Oryza sativa Japonica Group: one gene and its partners. The protein of the gene in region 7 binds, or shares a complex with, the protein of the main gene of each other region. Links are inferred from orthologs where the notes say so. Each region holds a gene or a part of one and is shown on either strand. Other genes may lie near its edges.

Evidence for each region.
Region 1: large ribosomal subunit protein uL3c (region 7) and large ribosomal subunit protein uL15c share a complex: the UniProt entries of both Arabidopsis thaliana proteins name them as parts of the 50S ribosomal subunit. The link is inferred for Oryza sativa Japonica Group from reciprocal best matches to the Arabidopsis thaliana genes AT2G43030 and RPL15.
Region 2: large ribosomal subunit protein uL3c (region 7) and large ribosomal subunit protein uL5c share a complex: the UniProt entries of both Arabidopsis thaliana proteins name them as parts of the 50S ribosomal subunit. The link is inferred for Oryza sativa Japonica Group from reciprocal best matches to the Arabidopsis thaliana genes AT2G43030 and AT4G01310.
Region 3: large ribosomal subunit protein uL3c (region 7) and large ribosomal subunit protein uL1c share a complex: the UniProt entries of both Arabidopsis thaliana proteins name them as parts of the 50S ribosomal subunit. The link is inferred for Oryza sativa Japonica Group from reciprocal best matches to the Arabidopsis thaliana genes AT2G43030 and EMB3126.
Region 4: large ribosomal subunit protein uL3c (region 7) and large ribosomal subunit protein uL4c share a complex: the UniProt entries of both Arabidopsis thaliana proteins name them as parts of the 50S ribosomal subunit. The link is inferred for Oryza sativa Japonica Group from reciprocal best matches to the Arabidopsis thaliana genes AT2G43030 and RPL4.
Region 5: large ribosomal subunit protein uL3c (region 7) and large ribosomal subunit protein uL10c share a complex: the UniProt entries of both Arabidopsis thaliana proteins name them as parts of the 50S ribosomal subunit. The link is inferred for Oryza sativa Japonica Group from reciprocal best matches to the Arabidopsis thaliana genes AT2G43030 and EMB3136.
Region 6: large ribosomal subunit protein uL3c (region 7) and large ribosomal subunit protein uL13c share a complex: the UniProt entries of both Arabidopsis thaliana proteins name them as parts of the 50S ribosomal subunit. The link is inferred for Oryza sativa Japonica Group from reciprocal best matches to the Arabidopsis thaliana genes AT2G43030 and emb1473.

Annotation. Positions count from the first base shown.
Region 1 is NC_089037.1:6,341,527-6,345,765, reverse strand, and holds the start of large ribosomal subunit protein uL15c, read right to left. Parts: upstream 2,801-4,239; 5' UTR 2,742-2,800; coding exon 2,324-2,741; intron 2,158-2,323; coding exon 2,006-2,157; intron 1,020-2,005; coding exon 798-1,019; 3' UTR 784-797; exon of another isoform or gene 682-783; intron 42-681; exon of another isoform or gene 1-41. Other genes in the region: uncharacterized protein, read right to left, coding at 3,333-4,066, 4,236-4,239.
Region 2 is NC_089037.1:1,440,999-1,444,361, forward strand, and holds large ribosomal subunit protein uL5c, read right to left. Parts: upstream 2,186-3,363; 5' UTR 2,118-2,185; coding exon 1,815-2,117; intron 1,682-1,814; coding exon 1,481-1,681; intron 1,090-1,480; coding exon 754-1,089; 3' UTR 501-753; downstream 1-500. Other genes in the region: probable polygalacturonase, read left to right, coding at 1-423. UniProt on the Arabidopsis thaliana protein: Binds 5S rRNA, forms part of the central protuberance of the 50S subunit.
Region 3 is NC_089039.1:18,889,730-18,893,777, reverse strand, and holds the start of large ribosomal subunit protein uL1c, read right to left. Parts: upstream 2,801-4,048; 5' UTR 2,622-2,800; coding exon 2,253-2,621; intron 2,147-2,252; coding exon 1,967-2,146; intron 1,857-1,966; coding exon 1,802-1,856; intron 1,536-1,801; coding exon 1,408-1,535; intron 947-1,407; coding exon 863-946; intron 1-862. UniProt on the Arabidopsis thaliana protein: This protein binds directly to 23S ribosomal RNA.
Region 4 is NC_089037.1:8,802,385-8,806,596, reverse strand, and holds large ribosomal subunit protein uL4c, read right to left. Parts: upstream 2,801-4,212; 5' UTR 2,733-2,800; coding exon 1,799-2,732; intron 639-1,798; coding exon 601-638; 3' UTR 384-600; downstream 1-383. Other genes in the region: peroxisomal nicotinamide adenine dinucleotide carrier, read right to left, coding at 3,803-4,005, 4,184-4,212. UniProt on the Arabidopsis thaliana protein: This protein binds directly and specifically to 23S rRNA. May play a role in plastid transcriptional regulation.
Region 5 is NC_089037.1:9,831,879-9,834,578, forward strand, and holds large ribosomal subunit protein uL10c, read right to left. Parts: upstream 1,348-2,700; 5' UTR 1,287-1,347; coding exon 624-1,286; 3' UTR 501-623; downstream 1-500. UniProt on the Arabidopsis thaliana protein: This protein binds directly to 23S ribosomal RNA.
Region 6 is NC_089035.1:31,965,951-31,969,944, reverse strand, and holds large ribosomal subunit protein uL13c, read right to left. Parts: upstream 2,801-3,994; 5' UTR 2,706-2,800; coding exon 2,481-2,705; intron 1,920-2,480; coding exon 1,734-1,919; intron 1,453-1,733; coding exon 1,282-1,452; intron 809-1,281; coding exon 689-808; 3' UTR 456-688; downstream 1-455.
Region 7 is NC_089036.1:1,980,082-1,983,741, reverse strand, and holds large ribosomal subunit protein uL3c, read left to right. Parts: upstream 1-1,360; 5' UTR 1,361-1,454; coding exon 1,455-1,986; intron 1,987-2,719; coding exon 2,720-3,009; 3' UTR 3,010-3,160; downstream 3,161-3,660. UniProt on the Arabidopsis thaliana protein: One of the primary rRNA binding proteins, it binds directly near the 3'-end of the 23S rRNA, where it nucleates assembly of the 50S subunit.

The DNA of each region.
Region 1 (4,239 bases), on a different chromosome or scaffold from region 7:
CTTGTATACCTCTGAATTTTGATTTGGATCTCTTCCATACCCTTGCCGTTAATTGACCGTTTAATAGGTATATAAAAGTCAGTTTTACCCTTCAATATGTGAGGAATATGTAGAAATTTGTAAACTATATTGTTGGAAGTATAAAATTTGTTGTGTGATTATCATATTCATAAGTTTTATGTACATAAAAAATTTAATATATATTTAAAAAGTACATGTAGCATTTTTTTAAATGATAAACATAGTTTTGGAAAGCATTCCTATATAATATATACAACAGGAGAAAATATGTTGAACTACCATAAACAAATGCTACATATACTCTTTTAGTAGGTAAATAAATATTAGTTTTTATGTCATTAGGTAAAAATAAACTTTGCCATGAATAATACCTTGTACAATAAAGTCATGAATATGATAGTCTTATATAACAAAATTATACACTTCCAACAATATAGCTAGTCTACAATTTTTAGATTTCCTTCATGTCTAAGGGCAAAAAGGTCCTTTTCATTAGAATTAAACATTCAACTAACGGTATGGGTATGAAAGGGATCAAAACCAAAATTCAGGGGCATACAAAGGAGTGGACAAAACTCGGAGGCGTAGAAGGGATTGGCTAAACTTTCAGGGGTATAGAAGGAATTTTCTCCATTTAAACAGGAAACACACAAAAAAAAATGCTTGCATATCGCACGGATTCAAAATTCGTTGAACGTGGAACTTTTGGAACAAGGTAAGAGAAATAAGTATATGTTAAAGAAAAGGGTAAAGGAGAAGTACAGTGTATATGAATTCTATGCAGATGCTTCATCAGATTCACCAGCACCACCATTTTTCTTGCTAAAGTATTCTTCTGCACGAGCTTGGTTCTTCAGATAAGATTGTGGTAGCCATTTCTTCCGCTTTGGTACCAGACTTAAAGTACAACCAGCTGCCTCGAGCTTCTCCTTGGCTGAAGCAGAGAATGCCCCAGCCTTGATATTCAACTTGACTGATACATCACCATCTCCTAAAATCTACAGATAGGTTTTCAAAAGTTAGCATACTAATACTACCCGCATGATAAAAGATACAATAACAACAGCAACATTGCAGTATCATTGTACTCAAACAAAGATGAAAGGAACGCCATCTGCTGAACATCAGAATCAGATGTCAAGAAGGAAAAAGCCTATCATAAGGATAAAGTTGATAGCTCCCCACATTATGACTTAGGTCTTGATACCTGTTTTAGCCCTGTGGGTTTTACCTTATATGTACCACATAGCTAGGAGCCTAGAGTATAGAAAAAATCAATCAAATGAAATAGGACCAGAAAGAACAATAAAAGTTGAACAATTATGCTATTCAAGGTGCATTAAGTTCCACCCTTGGAGAAGTCTTTGTCACATCAGTGATCAAGCGCCACACCACTACCCACTATAAGGGGCAACCCAGTAGCACACTAATGCATCTACTCCAGCAATCCGCCAACTAAGAGTGGAGACAAACAGTAAATATTTTGGGTATGTTGGGAGTGATGCAGACATGCAGTGGTACATGTAAGAGCACATGGTTTTGTTGGGATCTTGATACCACTTCATGTTTATGCCTGACAGATATGCTCATATGCAGGCCTACACCATGTGTGGGTTCATCATAACTCATACGTTCTAGATCCTTGAGTAGCCAATAGAAACACTCGTCAAATCATACCGTGTTTGTCCAACACGAGCTAAGAAAATTGATCCCGACACACAACTTTGAGACTTCGAATACTCAACTTGGTAATTGCTGCTAAGGACAGACCAACACAGCAACATTTGAGAACTACAAGAAAAAAAAAGGCCAGCCATTCAATCCACAACATCAACAACTAAAGGATTACCCAAGACTGCTGGTGAACTTGATGAATTCACTGGCAAAGATCAAATGCAAGGCATTCATATTTCAGTTTTCAGTAAAACATGGTCATCTACAGAACCGACTTAAAAAAAAGAAGGATAATCGTCGTATAGTGTACCTTCAGAGGAAGCTTTCTCTCCCTGCCAGACGGATTAATCAAACCCCTCGATTTCAAGGATTCCAATGATATCTCGTCACCATCCTTGAACCCGCCACGCGCCAAGTCTCTCAAATTGAACGGCACATACTTCGGCAAGCCAATATGCATTCCTGCAATCGCAAGGTAGAACTTGCAACGGGTCACTTCTCAATCCCAGCATTTCTGCATTCCAAATGGAAGGTGCTAGCGTGTTCCCACTCAATTTCCAGTGCATTTGAATGTGTGAGGCTTCGATTGAGGGCGAGGAGGGGAAGCGGGAAGCTCGAAGAGACTCACCTCCAGCAATGCCGCGCAGCTTGGGGATGCGGCGGTAGAGCGGCATCTGCCCTCCCTCGAACCCGCGCCGGACGCCTGGCCCCGAGCGCGACTTCTGTCCACGCATGCCGAACCCGCAGCTCGCGCCCTGCCCCGCCGCGATACCGCGCCCCTTCCGCTTCGGCCGCCGCCGCGACCCCTTCTGCGGGCCCAGGTTGTCGAGCCGGAACTTCTCCGCGGGCTCCGCCTCCGCGGCCTCGGCCGCCGCGGCGCTGCACACGACCGTGACGCAGCGGCGCGGGCGGGCGCGGAGGACGACGGACCGGCGGCCGGAGATGGGGCCTGGAGCGGCGACGAAGGAGGTGGAGAGCGAAGTGGAGGCCGGGAGGTGGAGCAATGTGGCCGCGGGAGCGAGGGAGAGGAGGGTGATGGACGCCATGGCGGTGGAGCGGAGAGCGCGCCTGAGCGGCTTGCTGGTGTGGGTGGATAGAAGGGGATAATTGGGGAAGGACACGAGGGAGATAAGACGGTTGGATAAATGGGCCATGAATCCAATTAACCCTTGGGAATTTGGGCCTCTTTTCCCTCTATTTTGTGAATGGTTTCGTATTACTCACTTTGCTTCTTGTTTATTAAAGGATTTTAGAAGGTTTACAAAAGTTTATGAATAGAATAGAACTGAATTTATCTTCTTAAGAAATGAACATATTTGGATTGATCTTCCACACACAATCAACCAAAGAGAAAACCTGATCTTTGCTGTTCTTCAAGAGACTAGTACGGAGAGAAACTGATGGGTCACACAACCTGACAGAGTTAAGTATACTGAACTGATCTATGCTAAGAAAAGAAAAGGTGAAATGAGAAAGGAAGAAACGAAGACATGTACAAGACACATGCTTCACAGGATCGTCCCGTTGCATGTCTAGCAGTAGACAGGTGCAAGGAATTAAAAGTAAGTGTTACAACTGTAGTCTGGATAATTGTACGTCCAGGCCTCAGCTGAAAGAAACTAATGGAACTCTGGCCATCAACCATCTGAAATGTCAACAACGATACCTCTAGTTGGTGAGTTCAATGGTGACGATGCAGCTTGGCCAGCTTGATCCTCTGCTGCTACATGACTACTTACAGGATGATCTGGCAATGAACTTACATCAACTCGATTAGCTTGCACATTTTCAGATTTGTCATTGTCCCCCTGGCTTAGGGGGTAAGAGCCAGCACTGCTAGAATTTCTGCCATTTTCTACAAAAGATGTAGAACTAGCACCTTCACTGCCACTATTGGATTCCCTAGCAAGAACAAGTTTCAGTAACTTCTGCCGCTTTCTTCTTTCGGTTCTTTTATTTATCAAAGGCACCTCATCTTCATCTGACTCATCCACAGAATAGTAATTCAACCATTCAATGATTACAGAGTAGGAACCATCCCACTTGCTTATTTTTCTTTTCTTCTGTCTGCTGCACTCTTGATTCTTCTTTAGTGAGGTTGTTCTTGGACGCTTCGGTGCTTCCTGAACAGTTGTGGCGGTTAGACGGTCCAAACCAATATCCTTTGACAATTTGATTTTCTTATTAGCTGTGTCTCTTGAAGAGGACTCCATTCCAGAAATACCAATAGAGTCATCAGGAGGAAACCCAGCAGAGGTTTCTTCCAGTTCATGCTTATTGCCTTTTCCACCCTTAATTGATGCATGCGCATTGTGCCAACTTCCAGGGGCTGATTCTTCAACTTTGCAATCAGGTGCTTCTACAGATAAAGCTACCAACAAAAATTAGCAGTATCATCAATTTGTATGAGTAGGCATACTAAGAGTTTAAAATGTATATCTGCAGTAAAGAGTCATCTCAAGGCATTTCAACAAAATAGACTGTTTTATGGTCTTAAAATGTTATCATAACTGGAACCTCCTTTTTAAGCCAAATGTTACCTTT
Region 2 (3,363 bases), on a different chromosome or scaffold from region 7:
GTGGGGCGCGGCGGCTACGTCAAGGACGTGTTCGTCCGCGGCCTCAGCCTCCACACCATGAAGTGGGTGTTCTGGATGACCGGCAACTACGGCCAGCACCCGGACAACTCCTCCGACCCCAACGCTCTGCCGGAGGTCACCGGCATCAACTACAGCGACGTGTTCGCGGAGAACGTCACCATGGCCGGCAGGATGGAGGGGATTCCCAACGACCCCTACACTGGCATCTGCATGTCCAACGTCACCGCGCAGCTCGCGCCGGACGCCAAGAAGCTGCAATGGAACTGCACCGATGTCAAGGGTGTCGCCTCCGACGTCTCGCCGGTGCCGTGCCCGGAGCTCGGGGCGGCGGGCAAGCCATGCGCCTTCCCTGAAGAAGAGCTCGTCATCGGTCCGCCTGAATTGCCAACGTGTAGCTACTGAAATACTGATATAGGATGATAGTATGGTGTGGGTAATGGCCTGGGCTATGAGATGCTTGGGACCAAAGAGATATATATGATGTGGTTTAGTGAGTAAAGTTAAGCAGTTTGAAAATGCTGCCGGATAATCTCTTTACACCCAATTCATTTATGAGTGCTCATCTGCGAATGACCTGACCAAAGCAAAGCCTTTTCATTTTGTCTTCTGACAGTAAATACAGCACGTGACAAGATAACAAAATCATCAAACTTCTAAACGAAACTTTGCAAAAACAATGACAATTGACAAAGTGAGAAGCAAAGCTCAACGTGCCTAGGCAGCGGTTTGCAATCACCGTCTTCCCCTGCCCTTGCTCATGAAGTGGTGGCGCTTCAACCTCTTCTTCCGGATCACCACGGAGGACTTGATGTGCTCCGCGAACGGCATGCCAAGGAGGGTGAGCAGCCTGAGAGCCTCGTTGTCGGTCTTCGCGGTGGTGACGATGCAGACGTCCATTCCATTCTTCTTCCCACCGACCTCGTACGGGATCTCCGGGAACACGCCCTGATCACGAAGGCCTATGGTGAAGTTGCCATGGCCATCAAAGCTGTTGGGGTTGACACCAAGGAAGTCCATGGTCCTAGGAAGCCCAAGGTTGATGAGCCTATCCAGGAAGTTGAACATTACCTGCAGCAAGCCAAAATAAGCTCATCGATCAAACATATTCCCTAGGTTCCCAAATACTTGTCACTGGATACTATTCATATTTGAACTTTGATCACTTATATTTTTTAGAAAATAAAATGCATATACCTAAAAATATGCCATATTATTAAAGGTTGTTACTCCACATAGATAGGTATTAAACTTTCGTTCGTCCAACCATTTAAAATTTGTGGTCAATGTAAAATACTGACGGCCAACGGTGACAATAATTTGGAACTGGATGGAGTAATTGCAATTCTCACACATACTTTAGGCTATTATACTGTCATGCAAATCCCAAATTGATACAACATTGCAGTCCCCAATTTGTCAATGTCTGCATCGCAAGTAGCCAGAGGTACAGAGGACTCACCCTGCCGCGGAGCGTAACGGCAATACCAATGGTGTTCCCCTCGCGGATCTTGAAACTGGCGACGGACTTCTTGGCCTTCGTCTTGACGGGCCACTGGCCGGTGATCATGGCGAGGTCCTTCATGGCGGATTCGAGCCCCTTGGAGTTACCGGCTTCAGCCCCCAACCCGCAATTCACTACAATCTTCTCAACCTTGGGCACCTGAATAAAATCGAGAATCCAAAACACACTCCTCTAAGCTCAATTATTGAACAACAATCGAATTTCCCGAGTTCCGCAAAGAAATGGCCATGTCTATCCTATAATTGCGAGAAGGGAGACAGAGGTCGAACACCTGGTGGACATTGGTGTAGCCGAACTCCTCGGTGATGAGGGGGACCACCTTCTGGTCGTATACAGCCTTGAGGCGGTGCACCTTCTGTGCCTCGGTGGGGTCGACGAGGACGATGCCCGAAGGCGAGGTCGGCGGCGGCGCCGGCTTGGGTGGCGCGTCGGCCGCGGCGGAGGCGGCGACGCGGAGGGCTCGGCGAGGAGGCGGGGAGCGGAGGAGGAGGCGGACGTTACGGGAGGAGGAGGCGGTGGTGGTGACGGGGAAGGGGGCCGGCGAGGACGGCAGGGTCACAGCCGTGGCCGCCATTGGAGCGTGCGCGGAGACGGAGGTGGGAGCTGAGGAGGGAGCTTTATGCCATGGATGGATTACGGGATAAGGCGAGTTGGCTGTGGCTGGCTGCCGTTGCTGTCCAGTGTCGCAGGTGGGCTTTCTCGTCATGGTTCGGCCCATCGAACTGTTCGACATGGTTTCAGGCCTTAGGCCCATCAAAACCGTTGATTTGGGCCTTAGGCCCATCAAAACCGTTGAGTTGGGGGTGAACTAAACACGGCCTAAGAGAAGGGTAAAGTTACATGAGTCAACAACTGCAAGTCTGCAGTGTGTGAATTTCGATATATGCCTTGTTTTGGTCAACCGGTAACAGTGTTTGAGTATGTGGCCCATTCTGTATTTTCTAATGCACTACAGGACATCACTAGTATAGTAGTAGTATGCCATTAAACGATGACTTCAAACATAAAAAACGCCGATGAAGAGCTTAAACAAGATCAAGCAAACTCTGAACCTAGCAACAGTTGCTGGCAGATCAGCAGGAGATCTGCCACGCTTGATCAACATTGAAAAATGGACGGAATATCACGACGAGGATCCTCGTCACATGCTTATGCCTAACTAATCATGCAGTAACCGTAACATGCAGTTCTTTATAACCAGGGGACAATCACTAGGATCTGATTTGAAAGGTCCCAGATCACAACATTGCGCTTGCCCTACCTTGTTCTACCAAGGACCAGCAATGCCACGACCGTGATCCTGTGAGGATCGACTTGACACCAAGAGTAGAAACACAACGGACAATATCTTCCTTGTCAGTTTGCAACCTAATCCTGATAAACTACATTAACCTCCTTGACCTCAAGAAGTAACTGTCAGTCTGTGACCTTGTCACTTGTCAGGGCCTTAATGAACAGCCATTCAGCAGTATGGAGGAACCGCCTAGTGTGCATAAGCTTCATTAATTCTTCTTCACGGTCAAAAAGTAATCAGCCATGCATCACTTTCATATTTACATCCGGCACATCTCGTGAACAAGAGATACAGAATGTCGGCAAATAAAGAATATAAAAGAAAGTACACATTTTATCAGTGAACACCTCACTGTCAGCAGCACGACTCAACCAGACTAATAAATTCAGAATGGTACTGATTAATATATATCATTACCAGCAGTACTAGCAAAAGCATCAGCCATTCAGCCCCAGCACATCATTTCTAATACCTGTGTGCTCCACCGTCCAAATGAGCTTCCAAATATCTATCTAAATTATTCTTC
Region 3 (4,048 bases), on a different chromosome or scaffold from region 7:
GCACAATATAGCCCAGTTCATTACCTAAAGGGCTAGATTTTTCACAAATGCTCCCACTCCTGTCCTTCAGTTAACCGTTATAAATGATGGTTGTTCCTAACAGTCAAGTAGCCTACTTTACCTGTTTTCTCTATTTTGCAGATTTGTTGTGATGCTTTACATAACTGTTACGGAGGCACTATGCAGGCTAAGTAGCAGATTACCATCATCATCAGTCATTACACGATCATTTGCTCTATGGCTGATAAGCCGTGGAAAAATGACGAAGCAACCAAAAATAACTTTTGAGTAAAACGTCTATATCTATGTTCTTAGCGATTCAAAAGCCAGCACTGGAGAATAAAGCACAATAAAAAAAACCCCTCAAAATCAATTCTAAATTAAGTTTCAAAATCCAGATTTTGGCTGCCGTTGATAAGCCAACAAACGAACGATGGAGCTATGCATCCATGCATATCCTCAAATTCAGTTGGCACAAACAAAATTTCAAACCTTCTATCTACGAATAACAAGGTTAAAAAAATGTCTATCAACATGTCTGAAAATCGAACCACTGAAATATATTGCACACACAATGAAGACTACTAAACAAGGTAGCAATATATCAGTAGGTTTTCTCCCAGAAGTGCATCTATGAGGTAAGTACTGAGATGACGTAAATGGACAACTTCTTTGAACAAAAGGGCAGGAGTTCTGCCTATTGCATTGAACGAGGATAAAACAGAAGTTCACCAAGGATCAAAGAAGGTAAATGGACAGTTACCCACCTTTCACTCAGGGTCACAATAACCAAGCAAATGGGAGAGAAAACCACAAGCAACAGTGTCAATACATATAGTAATCTGTAGAATTTCCATTGTACCTGAGTTATGTTTGGAGAAACAGTCCCAGCTTTGGGGTTAGGCATAAGTCCTCTCGGTCCTAGAATCTTTCCCAATCCGGCGACCTGTGAAGCAAAAGACCAAAATCAACAACATAATATGCCGAGCTAGTAGCACACCTTTAAAACTTCCATGCAGGTCTTGCATGGAGCTCAACACTTATTGCAGAACTGCATCCAAACTTCCGAAGAATGTACCAATTCAAAACAGTAGAACCTTATTTGCTTATCGAATCTATTTTCTCTGAGTGAACCAAATTTGCATATCTCCATTATGGCTCAAATCATAATCGTAAATGCTAGACACTTGTAATATGAAGGGATGGATCAGATATGGCAGGTAATGATAAGAAAACAATATCTGATCAATACAACTAAATGTTGCCTGGTTTTGTGGTTCCTAATAACACTGAAACATAACGTGTTCATTTGGATGTGGGATAAACTATGTCGGAGACATGCAAAAAGACAAGTCTTCATAATGCTTGGAATTGTTTTAGACATGAGTTATGCAGCTAATGCCATACCTTAGGCATCATATCAGGTGATGCAATCAGCTTGTCAAATTCCATAAATCCTCCTTTTATTTGGTCAATCAGGTCATCTCCACCGACAATATCAGCTCCTGCAGCTCTTGCTTGATCTATCTTCTCACCTGCAAGGATATTTGACAATAGCCATTACATAGTGCTAGTGATTAGTGCACCACTTTAGTGACTAGCGCGCATTCACATACTTCCATTTCAATTCACTATATAACAGCGTGCTTCCAATTTAATGAACCGTAAATAACCACATGATCAAGCAGGCAAACCACACCTAAAAGACACAACTAGCAGTGACCTAATCAATCCATGCACCAAAGATTGCAATTGGAATTGGTGCTGCGATAACAATCTCCAAAATGTAATTGCAACCCACCTTGTGTGAGGACCGCAATCTTCACCGACTGGCCCGTCCCCTTGGGCAAATTAACCTGCACATCATCACCAAAACCGATCCAATATCATCAAAAACGATTGATAAAACACAAGCCAGAACAGAACGTACGTAACAATGGCAACAGCAGAGAGAAAGAGCAATAACCGTGGCGCGGAGCTGCTGGTCGTTGTACTTGGGGTCGAGGTTCATGCGGAAGTGCGCCTCAGCGGACTCGACGAATCGGGCGCTGGCCATCTGCTTCACCAGCGAGATGGCCGTGGGCACGTCGTGCTCCTTCTTGCTCTCCCTCAGCTTCTGTATCTCCAGGAATCGCTTCGACCTCGTCTGCAAACCCATCAAAAAAAAGGCGAACGCGGCGTCAGCGTCAATCCAAAAATCAACACGAATGGATGAACACGCGGGGGGGAGGCTGGATTCGGGGGGGGCATACGCGGTCGCGCTTGAGCGGAAGGGCGGCCTTGCCGGTGCGCGGGCGGGTGGGGGGCGTGAACGCGGGGCCGCGTCCGCCCTCGTACCCGTCGTCGTAGTCGTCGTCGTCGTACTGCTCCTGCCCCTCGTCCTGCTGCTCCCCCTGCTCCTCCTCGAGCACGGCGCCCTGCGGGTCTGCGACGGCGGCGACGGCGGGGCGGCGGAACGCGAGGAGCAGGCGCGGGTAGTAGGCGCGCAGCGACGGGACGGGGGTGGGGAACAGCGCGGTGGACGAGGAGGAGCAGCACTGCGCCGCCGCGGCGCCGGTGGTGGCGGGGGCGGGGGCGAGGAGGGAGGAGGCGGTGGCGGAGAGGGAAGCGGCTGTGGCCATGGTGGTGGTGGTGGTGGTGGGGAGGGGGGAGGAGATAAGCCGAGGTGGAGGATAGAAAGGGGAGGAAAAGGCGAAGTGGCAGCGCGAGAGTGTTATAATAGCCGGTGAGGCGAGGGCGAGGCGAGCGGGCGAAGCGCGCAGCGGATAGGGCTCTCTCTCGCTCGCGCGTCGCGGGGGACGGGGGAGGACTCGTGCGATTTGGGCTATTTTGGATTAGCCGAGCCGTGTGTGCCCGCGCGCGCGGGGGAGACGGTTGGGGGAGGGTGGTGCGCTGCGGCGCCGCGGGCGTCGGATTGGGCCCAAAAGCTCACGATTTCGCCGTTACTGGGTACGGTCCAAAAGAACCACCGATAATGTAGTGCTATTTACTTTTTAAAAATACTACGAACCATTACCCATAATCTGTTAGTTGCGAGAGTATCAGAAATGTCTGGCCGTACCATCAGAGTACCTACACTCTCTATCCCAAAAGATACAACTTCTAAGAGTGTTCACAGTAGAAGGATGTGACGTTCAGCCCCATAGCCAAGAACTGAATATTCGGCGCCGCATTGACAGTACGCGGAGCCAAATAAGGTTCTCGTACCCAAACATGGATACTCGTTCTTCAAACGAAGAAAGCAGGGAGAAAGGTGAGTTGTCGTGTTGTGGAGGGCGGAGCCTCACACGAGTGGCTTCGCGCAGCGTCGACAGCGAGCGCATTGTCGCCACAGCCACGGGGAGAGAGAGAGAGGAAGGCGCCATCGACGAAGAGGCTGCGACCGCCACCGTATCCAATGATGAGGATGGGAGCTCGCCGTCCGGCACCGTCGCAGCTCGGGCTGCCCTGACAGCCGCCGCCGCTCAGCCCCAGCGCCTCGGATGCCCTGGTGAGAAAAGAAATAGAGTGAGAGATTGGGGGATGAAAGATTTCGGATGAGAAAAGAAACAGAGGAGAGAGAGAGATTGAGAGATGAAAATTGAAAAAACTGTACCGGTGGGACCCACTACTAGTACTTGCATTGTAGAGGATGAAGCTTAACAGGTTCTTCGTCTACGTGGCATATGAGGAACGGCAAAAATATGTAGCGCACTGTGAATGTCCTAAGAATGTTGTCCGGATTCATTCCTAGAAATTGATTTTTTATGGGACGAAGGAAATAGGAACCAATACGAGAGTCTGATAATGTGGTATTAATGGATATCGTGTCTGGTAGTACCAGATCCAGTGCACATACAAATATGATACCTACGATCCTGTGCTGATGTTAGCACCATAAGGTATTCTGTTGTAACAGTATAGTGTTATGTAGTAGTTCTTTTTTTTTTGTCACATGCAAACTTTACAAGATCTCTTTTAGAAAGAATATTGGAAGAAATTGGACTGAATGTCTTAATCTTATGCAATTCATGGGTTCTGAGAGCATCAACAATGCGTGTCTCCAGGG
Region 4 (4,212 bases), on a different chromosome or scaffold from region 7:
TAGTCATAACAAGGAACAATTCAACAATTTAAGGAGACAAGATTTTGTAATCATACCCCTACTCAAGATGTTACTCTCTCCATTTTATATTATAAGTCGTTTTGACTTTTTTCGGAGTCAAACTTCTGTACGTTTGACTAAGTATATAGAAAAAAAATGGTAACATTTATAATACCAAACTAGTTTTATTAAATGTAACTTTGAATATATTTTTGATAACATGTTTGTTTTGTGTTAAAAATGTTATTATTTTTTCTATCATTTTGGTCAAAATTAAATAAGTTTGACTAGGAAAAAAAAGTCAAAATGATTTATAATATGAAACGGAGGGAGTAGAAAATTAGTGGTAACCAGCAGGTCAACACTGGTTTTTTGAAGCAAGATTGGGAAGCACTTTCTGTATAAAATTGGAAGAAAAATATGCAGTGGTTGACACGACATTGTATTTGAAAATATATGTGCAGTTTGAAGATCTAATATACTGCATCAGTGAAAAAAAAACATTATAAACTTACAACAAAAGTAAGCCAAAAAGCTTCTGCATCAGGGAAGCAATTACCAGACCAACAAACGAAAAACACGCGATCTACACCTCCTTCCCTAGGAATTGCTATCAGCCTCAGTCTCTGCAGCCTCATCTGAAAGTCATACAAAAAGAAGTTCCTGAGAAATGCTCAAAATAAGAGAAAGTTATAATATGCAGCACCAAAATGTAACAGAGAACTGAATGTCAATTAATAATAACTTAGTCCTGTAGCTATGCATAGTATTTACGAAAAGGAAGTGCTTGAGTGATGGAGAAAACATGTGTTTAACTAGGTTTTACCTCTAAAGCAACTTAAACCAGCATATTCACAGCTAACTACTTTATTAAGATGGTTCTAAGGTCTAACAGAACATCTTTGAAGTGAATGATGACAGTGCCAATGGCTGACAATGTTTCAAGTGATAGGTGATAGGGGTAGCTGTGTGGCACAGCAGATTGTGACACTATTATAAGGAGTGTACCAGTATCCCCAGAGTTCTGGTTCAGTGGTGTTCATGGATTCCATGCAGTCTCATTTCTTCTTATTTTTTAGTTTAGTGCTTAGGACTTAATCCACCTTCAGCCGAAAATTTAACCACCATTAGGTGAAGTCATTTTCTATTCGCAAATTGTTGAGTTGCTCATGAGCTCTGAATAAAAACCCTAAGGAGGTGCAAAATAACGAGTAAAATACAGACTCAGTGGGTCTACTGAGAGCTAGCATAGGGGTAGGTGGATCTCTAAGCATGCTTCTAAAATAGACCATTGAATTATGTCATGGACTTATTGGATCTTTCAGGAGGAAAAAAAACCATACGATGTACATTAGCATGGTAAGCATTTTTCCTTTTGCATGCTGGTAAGGATAAGAGAACTATTTCGAAAAAAAAATTAGCTCCATAAGTCTACAAGGCCACAAAGAATTTCTCCATAATAATTAAGATGGTATTCATAAGACAAAACTGGCTACATTTTCTGTTTCTTTGCCACGTTATCTTGTTTTTACCCTTAAAACGCATGTCAGGATCTTTATCAGCATACGTATAGCATCGATCATGATATTTACAACAGAGCATAGCTAAGAGTTAAAAGATAAAAAAAAAAACTACTGTACATGCCATTAAAGCAGAGCATTTTCTCTCCTAACTATCAACTAAAACATGTAAAATAAAGGATCACTGGATAGCATTAGTTACTCAAAGTCATTTCGCACATGCCCACCATAGAAACAATAAAAAGACACCTGGAAATTGTTCATGCATAGCTATGTACCTTGAGCAGCCTCCTCTGCGCTCCCTTCTCCTTCTTGCAACTCCTCTGCTTCCTCCTCACCATCATCCTCGCCATTGGTATCATCCTCATATTCATCAAAAACGGTGGCACCATACCTGGAGTTGAGATAGTTAATGGCGGCCGGGGTGAAGAAGAGCTTGCGGGCATCGAGGATGTCGTATAGGTTGAGAGTCCTGGGGGTTAGCATCTTGAGGGAGCCAATGTTCCTTCCGCTGAGCCGCACATTGTCTGCAAAATCCGTGGCGAAGAACATGGCCTTCTCCTTGGGGTCGAGCCCCCACCGCTGAAGCGCGGCCACGAAGTCCCTGGTCTTGGGACCCGCGGCGAACTCCTCGTCGAACTCCTCCACGACGAATGCATCGTCGGCCACGGCGGCACTGGCGAGCGCGGTGGAGATGGCGAGGCGCTTCTCCTTGCGGTTGATCTTGATGGACCAGTCGCGGGGCTTGGGCCCGAATATGACGCCGCCGCCGGGGCGGAGCGGCGTGCGCATCGACCCGCGCCGCGCCTTCCCCGTCTTCTTCTGCTGGTAGGGCTTCCTGCCGCCTCCCCTGACCTCGCCGCGGGTGAGCGTGGAGGCCGTGCCGCGGCGCTTGTTCTGGCGGTCGGTGATGATGGCGCGGTGCACGACGGCGCGCGCGGTGGAGGGCGGCGCCGACTTGAGGTCGAGGGCGACCTCCCCGACCTTCTCCCCGGTGAAGGAGAGAACCGGGAGGGTGGCCGCCTCGGCGCGAAGGGCGCGGAGGACGGAGATAGCCGCCTTCTGCTTGCCGGCGGCGACGGCGACGCGCGGGGAGGAGGAGGCGGCGGCGGCGGCGGATGGGAGGAAGGAGACCGAGGTGGGGGAGAGGAAGGGCGAGGAGGAAGAGGAGAGCGAGAGGAGGAGAGTCGAGGCCACGGAGGAGGCGGCCATTGCGGCGGCTTCGCTCGCTGCGGTGCGCTGCGTGGGCTGGACGACGGGGAGGCTTTGCCGCTGCAGCTGCGGAGCGGCCGCTTCTCTATCTCCTTATCCACCCCCACCCGACCGGACCGGCCACACTCTCGCGAGTGTCAGCTTAGTCGGTCGCGCCAGACCAGTAAGATACACACACTACTATGTGTTTGGATTTTAGAAGAAGCATCTCTTCATTAAAAAAACTTAGATATTGTTAAAGAAAAACCCTCGAGGCAGTATTAGTCTATTAGATGGTGTTTTTTTTCTAATAAAGATGAAATAAAATAGGAAAGCAAAATGAAAACGGCCCATTAGCTTATGTTTAATTAAGTTTTGATTATTTTAAACTTGAAATTGATTTATTTGATATTTTAAAATATTTTTATGTAAAAAATTCATATGAAACATACCATTTAGCAGTTTAAAAAATGTGTTAGGAAGAATTTGCATCTTAGTAAAGAAGGAGGCTTAGTTTCACCAAAATGAGTTTGAAATAATCAAATTAAATTTCATTTCCTTTTTGTCGGGTCAGATTGCTCATTAGCACTTGTGTATCAGAACAGTTGCCTGAGAACCACATTGACAGATGGGGCGCACCATAGACACAGTTATGCTAAAAATGGACAGGAACTCCAAATTTTCTACTTCTACTTTTGTTCTGAACACTTGCGAAGTTTTCACGATTGCGATCCTCTTCTCGGTTAGCTCTAACAAACAAGCTAAAGAAACTCAAGTAATCTGAACAGATGACTAGCGCTTGCGATTCTCATTGCCAACTTATTTTCTAGTGTTTCAATCTTCCATAACAGTATACTTTACACGAGCAACAGAGATAGCCTACCCAATATATACCATCATTATTGGTTCCTACAAGAATCACAGTGGTAATTGTACTACATCTTTAATCTCCTTTTTTTGGAGAGCCTACAGTCGATCAGAGTCTCACAGATAACTTGATATCTCCTAACAGGGGCGCTTGGCAACTCTGTCCATCGCTTTATGGAAACAATTGTGGTATAAGTAGGGAACTAACTCTTGTACAACCTAGATCATCTTAATGGCTTCGATGGTAACTTCTTAACAAGGCTGGTGTTGCCGGTTACCAATAATCGAGCGCCCTTCACCAGTTCCTCCTTAATCATAAAAAGGAGAGCAGAAGCAAAAACACTTTGTACGATTTTTGTGCTCATTCCTTTATAAAGCCCTGACAAACCTTCATAACGTATCATCTTTGTGATCGCATCAAATGTGCCTGCAAGCAATAAAATTTGCATAGCGTATTTGGTAACAAAGTCAGAGAACAGCAAATATTATTACCAGAAGAGAAGTAAAGACTATCAGAAACAGGATATGGAGCAACATCACTCATTAAATAATAATTCACTCTAAATAATAAAATGAAGTTTAAAGAATAAAGGCCAGCGATGTACCTTTGTAGCGGTGCCTCTTGTCATCATCA
Region 5 (2,700 bases), on a different chromosome or scaffold from region 7:
TCAATTTTGCCAATTCTATTCTTGATCCACTGCGCGTTCAGACAGAAATGATACAAATTAGGTATGTGGTGAGCTGGTGACCAACAGTAAGTTTCAGAAGCTAATTCAGAAGAATTTCCAACTCTAATTAGTGTTATTCTGTTACTAAAAGATGAATTAATCATTTAATTTTGTTCACTTCAAGGAGGTTTGCTCTTAACAAAAAGAGCACAGTTAAGTTCATGATTTTAAAACATCTCATCATACTGCTTTGAACAACTTTGTTGTAAACCTGGATACACTGATTGATGGTACAACTACACAAGCACTAGTAGTTATTGACCATTCTAATTGTGCATTGCCATTGCCCCTCAACCTACTAAACTTTGATCTCTGTAGTCTCTACAGGTAAAATTAAATTATCAAAACACTAGTTGTGGAACAAGCATTCCCTCTAAGTACGCAACGTAATCCTAATAACATCAGAACTCGGTAATCTTATGAAATCAGACCAGTAGGCATGCGTTGTAAGAGGTAAAACTTTTGTGATTCAATTCAAACGTGAGGCAGTAAAAGTACAGGAATTCTACAAGAAATGAGTGAGATGAGAGAAACGAAGCCACAAAACCATCTCTCAACAGCCATCAGGCGGCGCCGACCTCCTGCTCGAGCTTGCGCACGTACGCCGAGAGCACGGAGACGACGTCCCTGGCCGGCGCCTGCAGCGTGGTGACGACGGAGGTCGCGGGCCCCTGCAGCGAGCCGAGCAGCTTGGCGTACACCTCGGCGCGGCTGGGCATTGTCTCGAGCGCCTTGAAGTCCCCGGGGGCGTAGAACTTGCCCTCGAACACCGCGCCGACGAAGTCGTTGGTCTCCTCGAGGCGCTCCTCCTTCTGGAAGGCGCGGTAGGGCTTGAGCGCGGCGGGGACCTCCTCGGTGTGGACGAACAGCCACGCGTTCATCCCCTTCATGCACGGCTTGAGCGCCTCCCACGGCGTGCCCTCGATGGCCTTCCCCACCAGCGTGTTCTTCGCCACCAGCAGCCGGCAGGTCTCCGGGAGGGTGTCGCGGATGCCCTGCAGCTGCTTCACCGTGAGGCCCTCGTAGCGGATCCCGGCGAGGAGGTAGCAGCCCTCCAGCTGCTCGCGGACGGCGGCCACCGTGTCCTCCTTGCGGCCTCGGGTGATGGCCGCGCTGATGGTGGAGCGGCGGAGCGGGCGGGGGCGGGGGCGGGGTGCGAGGGTCTGGAACGCCGGGAGGGGCTTCGCGGTGGGGAGGGTGGTGCGGAGGAAGGAGGAGGTCTCCATCTTCGGAGGCCGGGAGCTATGGCGGGTTGGGAGAAAGAGTGGAGTGGGAGAGCTTATCTGTGGGGAAGATGAGGCGGGGGGCTCACTGGATTATGTGGGACCGTATCGTCAGTGCCTGAGAAGATGGTGAACTCAGCTCGGTCAGCTGCACAGAAAGAAGCTTCCGTGGAGATTGACCTTTGCTTGAGGATTTATAGCCGTTCGATCTTGATCCATGAGCGGTTGAAAATAAGATTAAGAGTTCCAAATAAAAAAAAATAGAGGCATAGAGCAAACGCGTATGTGTGGTATTCATAGACGTCAATTTAAACCATAGTGAGTGAAGTCGTGTACCAACAACTCCAATCTTCACTGCCTTGTTCAACACAGCATACATCACTATTGTTTTCTTGAGTTCAAAAACTCTTGATATGTACAATAAAACATAACATACATCAGTGTACTGAATTATTCAACACAATAGATATCACTATATAAGAAAATGACAGCGATTAGGCGCCCGATCAGCGGTAGAAAAATCGGGCGCTCGCCGCCTCCCGCACGCTCCCACCCCTTATGCGTTGTCCCCCCCCCCACGTGCCCCACCACACGCGTCGTTATAACAAATCACCCGCACATTAAGGAAATACTTTATTAAAGGAATCCGTTTCATTTTTTTTTCCACCAACAATGTTTTAGCAAGTGTACTCGTGATGTTTCACTATGTATGATCAAATGTTGCAATGATTTGAAACATCCTTTGCTATTTGCTGAAATATTGTTTTTATATAGGATGAAACAATGCCTGATTTTTTTTTGGAAACTGTTGTTTCATATGTTGTAACAAAATATTTCACGATGTGATTTGGTTGTGTTTCAGCTTTTTTAAAAATATTGAAACATTTTCGATCTATTTAGTGAAACAATGCCTGATTTTTGTAAAAAATCGAGCGCCCGATTTGTAGATGCATCACTATATATATATATATATATATATATATATATATATATATATATATATATATATATATATATATATATATATATATATATATATATATATATATAATTCAAACTTTTTTTTACAGGTAAGAAAACCATGCGAATCTCTTGTACGACGATCAAAATGGATATAAACATTGCAAGGATGTCAGGTGGAAAGGATATAAACTGCGACGATCAAGCAACAGCAGCTGCTCTGATGCTGTAAACACGGAGTTGTTCCGGACTCAGCATGCTCAACGCAATTTCACAGAAAACCAAACATCCGATGCTTACCATTCTCTCCATAACTCGTGTGCACTTCAAGCCATCCCTAACATGAAATGATGGTTTTGATAATGGAAGTGTATAGTTCATATAATAATGTCATTGGTAGTACTGAAATCCAAGAAATAAGATGCAGGGAAACAAGAACGTCTGGTACAGGGTGAAA
Region 6 (3,994 bases), on a different chromosome or scaffold from region 7:
ATTTATCTCACGATTTACTGACGGATTCTGTAATTAGTTTTTTTTATTAGTAACCGAACACCCTATGCGACACTCTATATAATATCCGATGTGATACGTCGAAACTTTACACCTCTGGATCTAAACAACCCCGTAGATGAAAATTTGATACCACCTAATATAAATCTGGATAACCTCCTAATCATTATTTTTAGGTGGTATCAGATCTTCATCTAAATTGGCTTTTTTTTTACAGAATGAGTACATGGTACAATAGGTGTTACTTGAGCACACGATTGGTACTGTCAACTTTTTCGTTATATGGAAGATAAACACGGACGTGCAATTAATTAACAGATCTACATCAACTATTAAGAGAATTTAGAAACACCTGATGCCCATTGAAAAAAGAGAACACTTTTGCCCCCAAACAATGACACATCAAGCTCATCTCAGGTCAAAATTGCACTACTCAATTGGATATGGAAATATCGGATTGCTTAAAATCGTACGGTATTAGGTACATGATATGTAATCAACAAGAACTATGACTTAGAAACACAAACTTTTGGAGGAAGTAAATTACAAAAAATTTTACACTCCATTCCCCAAACAGACAGATGCATCACATTCCAAAGATTGGACAAAATCTCGAGGGGAGGAATTTACGTGAGATTGTTGTGTCTTTCTTAGTCTCCACAGGAATTATCTACTTCTCAGACTTCTGTATTCTTTTATCCTTGATAGGCAGTGGAACAGGTTTTTGAGCCTCATGGGGATGTTCTGCTCCCTTGTACACCTTGAGGTGGGTAAACAGTCTTCTTCCCAGCTGCAAAATGTTCAAAATGTTGAGAAGGCTACATAGAGCACGTACAACCGCTGTAGTTGGTCGGATTACATGTGTCAGTGTCACTAACATATGAGAACTTGAGAGGTTGACATAGTAAACGTTTTTTTTTTTTATAAATGAACTTAGGCATAAGTAAAAGGCTTTAGGCAATCATAAGATGTCTTACAGGCAACATAGGAGTTTTGGGAGAATACATCTAGTACTTCGTTAGCCCACGCCGTTTCGGCATTCAATTAGAGCGAATATTTCCATGAACAGGGTATATAAAGTTGGGGAATTATACACAATAATGAAGTATAATGGAACAGAACGAGGATACCCATTTTCAGATATGTATTAGAAATTGACCAAAAATAAGGATAAGAGCATATGTATACCCAGGTAGGCTGACTTAAGGTCAAAAAGACTTGATGAAACTGACTAGATAAGAGCTCTAAGAGATGATGTCTTACTCTGCCCTTAGGAAGCATGCCACGCACTGCATGTTCAATAATTCTCTCCGGAATCCTTTTCTGAAGCTGATCAAAAGTTTCTTCTTTCATTCCACCAGGCCGTCCAGAGTGCCTCCTGTAGAGCTTCTGTGACCGCTTTTTGCCAGAAACAGCAACCTTCTCTGCATTAACCTATGTGAACATAGAGTTCAGCATGGTAGTTCAGGAACTTACAATAGTATATGCGTAGCAATTACTCTTCAGAGATGCATTAGTATTAAAAGCACACAGTAACATAAATATATATACATGAAATCAGCTTCAAAATGCCTTCAGGTGGACCTCAGCTTCCAGATACCTTTTGGTGCTTATTTGTATGTGCTGCTAAACCTCTTTTCCTTTTGTGGGACTACAGAGGATCTTATTGTGTGCACTATTTAACTTTATAAATTAATTTCAAGAAACATACATACCACAACAACAAAAGCCCCCATGTCCACACTTGGAGTGTATGTGGCCTCATTCTTTCCTCTGATGTGTACTGCAATGGTGGATGCAAGCCTACCTAGAATCTTGTCTGTTGCATCAACAACATACCATGTCTTCTCAGTAGTTACATGATCTGCAGCCTTAGGGTACCATGTTGTGTTCCATATGTCCTGCAAATTAAATTCCTTGGTCCGATCACTACACAGAACAGGTTGCACAGAAAAGAGAGAAAGAACACAAGAATGGTATCCGTACTGAATTCTAACTTCACAAACCTAAACATCCACAGATAAAAAGATATGGTAGTCATGTAGGTGCGAACACTGTTGAGTAATACAACACAATGTTAGCGACCAATTCAGAAAGACCAACGTTCCCTCCATGTTATTTTCAGTTCATTTTATGGAATCCTCTTTCGTAATAAATTACAACTAGATAACTTTAAATAAAATAAGATGGTGGTCTATACGGTATAGTAACATGTAAAAACATTGTGTATTTTCCCTAACATTATTCATGTAAAGAAAGGATTTGACCCAATAGAGCAAGATGAAGTGACTTACGGATTTAGAAATGAATGGGACTAATCTTGAGCTTTCCTAAATAAGCGGCAATCCTAAATCACGGTAAAATTTCCCTTTATCCAAGGAATGTAGCATTACTATTCATTTTCTGAACTGAGAAAGAGAAGAATGTATACGGGAGAGAGAAAGAGAGGTGAGGGTTAGTACGGGGCCGCAGAGCTCGTCGCCTTCGAACATGAATCGCTGCTCGCGGGGGACGAGCGCGGAGAGCGGCTGCCTCTTCTGCTTCTCGCTCTGCTCGCACCGCACCGACAGGCCCCCCGCGGCGGCGCGGCGGGTCGCGGGCCTCGCCGCGCGCCGCTGGCGGGGGAGCGGCCTGTCCCTGGCGAAGGCGGAGGAGAGGAACGCGGAGGCTGCGATGGCCGTAGCCATTGCGACGGCGGCGCGGTGAGGAGGACGCGGCTGCGGCGAAGTCTTGTCCGTCTGGCTTGGCCTGGTTCAGTGGAACGCCACTGCCATTTCGTTTCGGGGAGGCGAGGTGGAGAGAGCAGAGCGGATAAGAAGGGGATAGGGGGGGAGAGGGAGCCAGAAGGGGAAGAGGAAGAGATGGGCCTTTTGCTTAGCTGGGCTTTGCAGCCCACAGATGCATCAAAGCTAGAGAAACGCGTAGAAATTCCGATATGTTAAATGGGATAATTGCTTATTTAACCCTATTTTAAAGGCCAACTACTAAATTGATCTTATTTTTTTAGGTTTGTTTATTTGACCCTGTTATTTGAAATTGAAGTTTCCATTTGACCTGTTTTGCTTTCACCGGTAGAACATCACTTAGAAAAAAGAAAAAAAAAATACTACCCTAAAGTGACCAAAATACCCCCGTGTTACAAATTAACCCTAGGATTCCCATTCCATTCCCCAGCTCTTCGTCCCAATCCCCACCTCGCCGGTGACGGGGAGAGCTGCCGCCGACCGGGCTGGAGGGAGAGGCGGCGGCGGCGTTGGCGGCGCATCGAGGGAGCGGTGGCGGCGGCCGCGCGAGGAGGGAGAGGGAGCGGCGGCGGCGGCGGCGGCGTTGGCCGCGCGTAGAGGGAGCGGTAGCGGCGGCCGCGCGAGGAGGGAGAGGGAGCGGCGGCGGTGGCGGCGTTGGCCGCGCGTAGAGGGAGAGGGAGTGGCGGCCGCGCGAGGAAGGAGAGGGAGCGGCGGCGGCGTTGGCCGCGCGAGGAGGGAGAGGGAGTGGCGGCCGCGCGAGGAAGGAGAGGGAGCGGCGAGCGGCGGCGGCGGCCGCGCGAGGAGGGAAGGAGTAGCGGCGTCGGCGCGCAGGAGGAGGGAGCGGCGGCGGCGGCGGCTGCCGTGCTCGAAGCGGAGAGATTGAGCGGCGGCGGGGCTGCTGCCGCACGGAGGGTGGAGGAGGGGCAGCAGCGCCGGCTGTTGCCGCGCGGAGGGGCGGCGCCGCCGGCTGCCGTCGTGCGTCGTGTGGAACGAGAGACGGAGGATAACTTGTGGTTGGATTTGTTGATGGATTTGGATACGAATTTATTGTTGGATTTGGATCTGATTTGCTGTTGGACAATATGCTTTGCTGTTGGACAATATGCTGTCAAATTTGTGTAAAATTCTGTTAAATTGAAGACAAATCTGTCTCAGATCTGTAAAAGCCATGAAAATCATTGCAAATATTTAAAAAGTCCCGATGAAGAAAAAACTTTGATATAATATGGTAA
Region 7 (3,660 bases):
TCCACAGATCGAGGGTGAAGAACCTCACTTAGCGCCCCCGGCCGAACCGGCAAAGGGGGGCCTGCGCGGTCTCCCGGTGAGGAGCCCCAAGCTCCGACAGTGTTAGTATGTTGCTTCGTTTTGCATGCGAAGGGGGTTTTCAATCCCTCCAGAAGAACATATGCTAAGTAAAGCAATATTTTGTTATATATAAGTGATCAGGTAGAGCGAAGGGCATAGAAAACAATAAAGATATAGCAAAATGTGAATTGTGAAAATACTAGTGATGGAGCGCAAGATTTGTGTTTTTGAATCTCACTCGCGTAGAAGGCAATGGATTTCTCTCGTTGCTTTCAATTCTTGAACAACGTTATTGGTTCGATAGAATTTGAAGTGTTCAATCACTATTTTGTAGTGAGCTATTCTGAACTGTGTTAGTGCAATGAAGGTCATCGAGAGTGCAAGTGGCTAACCTACAAAAACCCACTTATATACTAAAACAAACCATCTGTACCAAACTCAGTTCCCATTGATATCTTCCCACCTGGTGCACAGGGGCACCGTGCTAAGGTACAATTGATCTAGGTAAAAACACTTGACTTTAAGTAAGGACACTGGATAGCACGTTATCTAAAATAAAACTCGGTAAAGTTATATGGTCTCAATGGCAAAGCTAGCAGCATACTTAAACCTGGGAGACAAGGAACGTTTACTAGTGATCCATAAATTTTCGGTATTGCTAAAAATATGTCGCTACAAATTACGATGGATTTCAGTCGGTTGTTTCAACCGTCAGATGCGGATGCAGAAATCATCGCAGTGTACGCATATCCCTCCGATTCTGTTCTCTTCTGATCTCTTCTGTTGTTTTAATGTTATTTGCTAATTAGGATTACTAATTAGTCTTAAAAACTAAATATCCGTGTCATCACAAATTTATAGTTTTGGGAATTACATCAACTTACACATGTAATTTTGAGAATTGCATATGTAATTTTAGTACTTACATATGTAATTTTGGAATTTACATTGTAAATACACTAAAATTATATATGTAATTTAGGGACTTGCAATGTAAATACATGCCGACTATTTTTTTGGTGAAAAATACGGCGCTATAAATATATATATAGTTACTCCCTAAATTTTTACATGTGCTATCAATGGAGAATAGTAGCAACATCAGCGGCGGAGTCTGTACGGTCGCCCGACCTGCCCAGGAGGTAGCTCCGCCTGTCTAGCCTAACCTGTAATTTATTATGCACCCGTGGTATTTTGCAACTGTTACGGAATCCACCTCCCCGGCAAAGAAAGCGTATTCCTAAAAAGCGCCTCTCTGCAGGCGGGAGGATAAGGGGGCATTAGCCGCAAACCCCAATCCAATCGAATTCAACACGAAAAACAACCAAAGCAGCAAGCGAAGCCGGGACACTGCTGGAGTGAGCAAATCCCCGCTCGAATCCGGGGCACCAAGAATGGCCATGGCGGCCGTGGGCATCGGCGGCGGCGGCGGCGGCGCGCTGGGCCTCCTCGCGCCGCGCCGCCGCGCCGCCTCCTGGAGCGGCGCAGGTGGCGCGGCTGCGGCGGCGGCGCGGCGGCGGCCGCTGGTGGCGGTGGTGCGCGCGTCGTACGAGGCCGGGGTCGGGGTGATGGCGACCAAGGTCGGGATGATGACCTACTTCGACCCGGCCACCGGCAAGCCGGTGCCGGTGACCGTCGTGGGGTTCCGGGAGGGCGGCAACGTGGTGACGCAGGTGAAGACGGCGGCCACCGACGGGTACGACGCCGTGCAGGTGGGGTACCACGGCGTCCGCGAGGAGAAGCTCACCCGCCCGGAGCTCGGCCACCTCGGCAAGGCCGGCGCGCCGCCGCTCCGCCACCTGCAGGAGTTCCGCCTCCAGTCCGTCGACGGGTACGACCCCGGCCAGCCGCTCGACTTCGCCGACATGTTCAAGGAGGGCGACCTCGTCGACATCTCCGGCAAGTCCATCGGCAAGGGGTTCCAAGGTCAGTAAACTTGATTATTTTTTTTTACTCCCTTTTCACAATGTGACTACCATTTCGCCCTGTCTGAATTTGAACAATGCTTTACATTGTGAGGAAGACTTGAGAACAAGCTTGAAATTTTGCTGTATCAAATTTACCATATGCTCACCAATGTTAGTGTACAGAATTGTTCTTGGGAAGAATCATTTAGCCTCTTCTCTTGATTAGCGTCCTAGACTTGCACAATGGCATTGCCAATATGGCAATGTCAATGCTGTTCTTGGAGTTGCAGACCTGTACCATGTCAACACATTCGTTATAGTTCACAATTTATTGCAACCATCAGCATCACTTGTATAATTTTCATGAAGTGAATATAACATCGTAAACCCGTTGCAATTGCGCTCTTGATTTGCTGCGACCAACGATTTGCCAATACCGCAAACATTATCCATTTCATGTATATTCTTCCCAAACAACATAATAAAAAAGACACAAATATTAGAGAAGGACCTAATATCAAATAATTAGAATGGGTGAGGCTTCGAACCCAGGTCGTCTAGCCTACCACCTTGTGGAGCTAGTTGGAAGACCCCTGGGTGTTTCTCCCCAAACAACATAATCGTTTATAGCATTCTCATGAAGTCAAGAGCACCAATATCTCTTTTAGTTCCTGATCATCTAATGGCAATATGGCATAATTGTGCAACTATGCTCTCAATTTGCGACTGACGGTTCTTGGACATCGACACAGGTGGCATCAAGAGGCACAACTTCAAGCGAGGGCTGATGACCCACGGCTCCAAGAGCCACAGAGCTCTGGGATCGATCGGTGCCGGGACGACGCCGGGTCGGGTGTACAAGGGGAAGAAGATGCCCGGGAGGATGGGAGGAACCAAGACCAAGATCAGGAAGCTCAAGATCGTCAAGATCGACAACGACCTGAAAGTTGTCATGATCAAGGGCGCCGTTCCAGGGAAGCCCGGGAACCTCCTCCGCATCGCTCCTGCCAAGATCGTCGGCAAGAACATCCCCAAGAACTAGACTATTTTTCTCATGTGTTTCGTCCTGTTCTGTGAGATTTGTGATCTGTTGTTTACTGAATTACTGTAAATTGGAGATGTTCTTTGCCCATGTCCAGGTTTTGTATACGCGTAACTTTGAATTTCGTAAAGCTAATTTTTTTTCTACTCAATCTTATCGATCTCCCGTTCTCAGTTCACACTCTCTTTGGACTAGAAGCTAACAGAATCTTAATCATCTTGTGCTTGGATGTCAAATTTGCAATCACTGTTTATTCTGTGTTCAGGGAATGGAAACATGTAATGGTAGACGGTAGTGTAACAAACACATCTTGAGAATCAAACTTCACCAAGCGTCAACAATCTGACAGTTTTACCAACTTCTCCAATACTGAATTATTGTAAACTCTCATGTCTGAACAACCGAAGAGTGCAGAGCGCGACATGGCCAACCGCAGCAAGTGCAACAGAGGGAAAATGTTAACTAAGCATCATGTACAAACTACACATCAAGTGCAACAGCACGAAATGTCAATGTAAAGCTTCCAGTCACCATTAACGCTAACTTCTACAATATCTTCAGCAATGACACAGGGACAATAGGTTTCTTGCATCAGTCAATGCGACACATTATTAGGCCATGAAATATTCTCACACAAGTCACCGAAGCTGG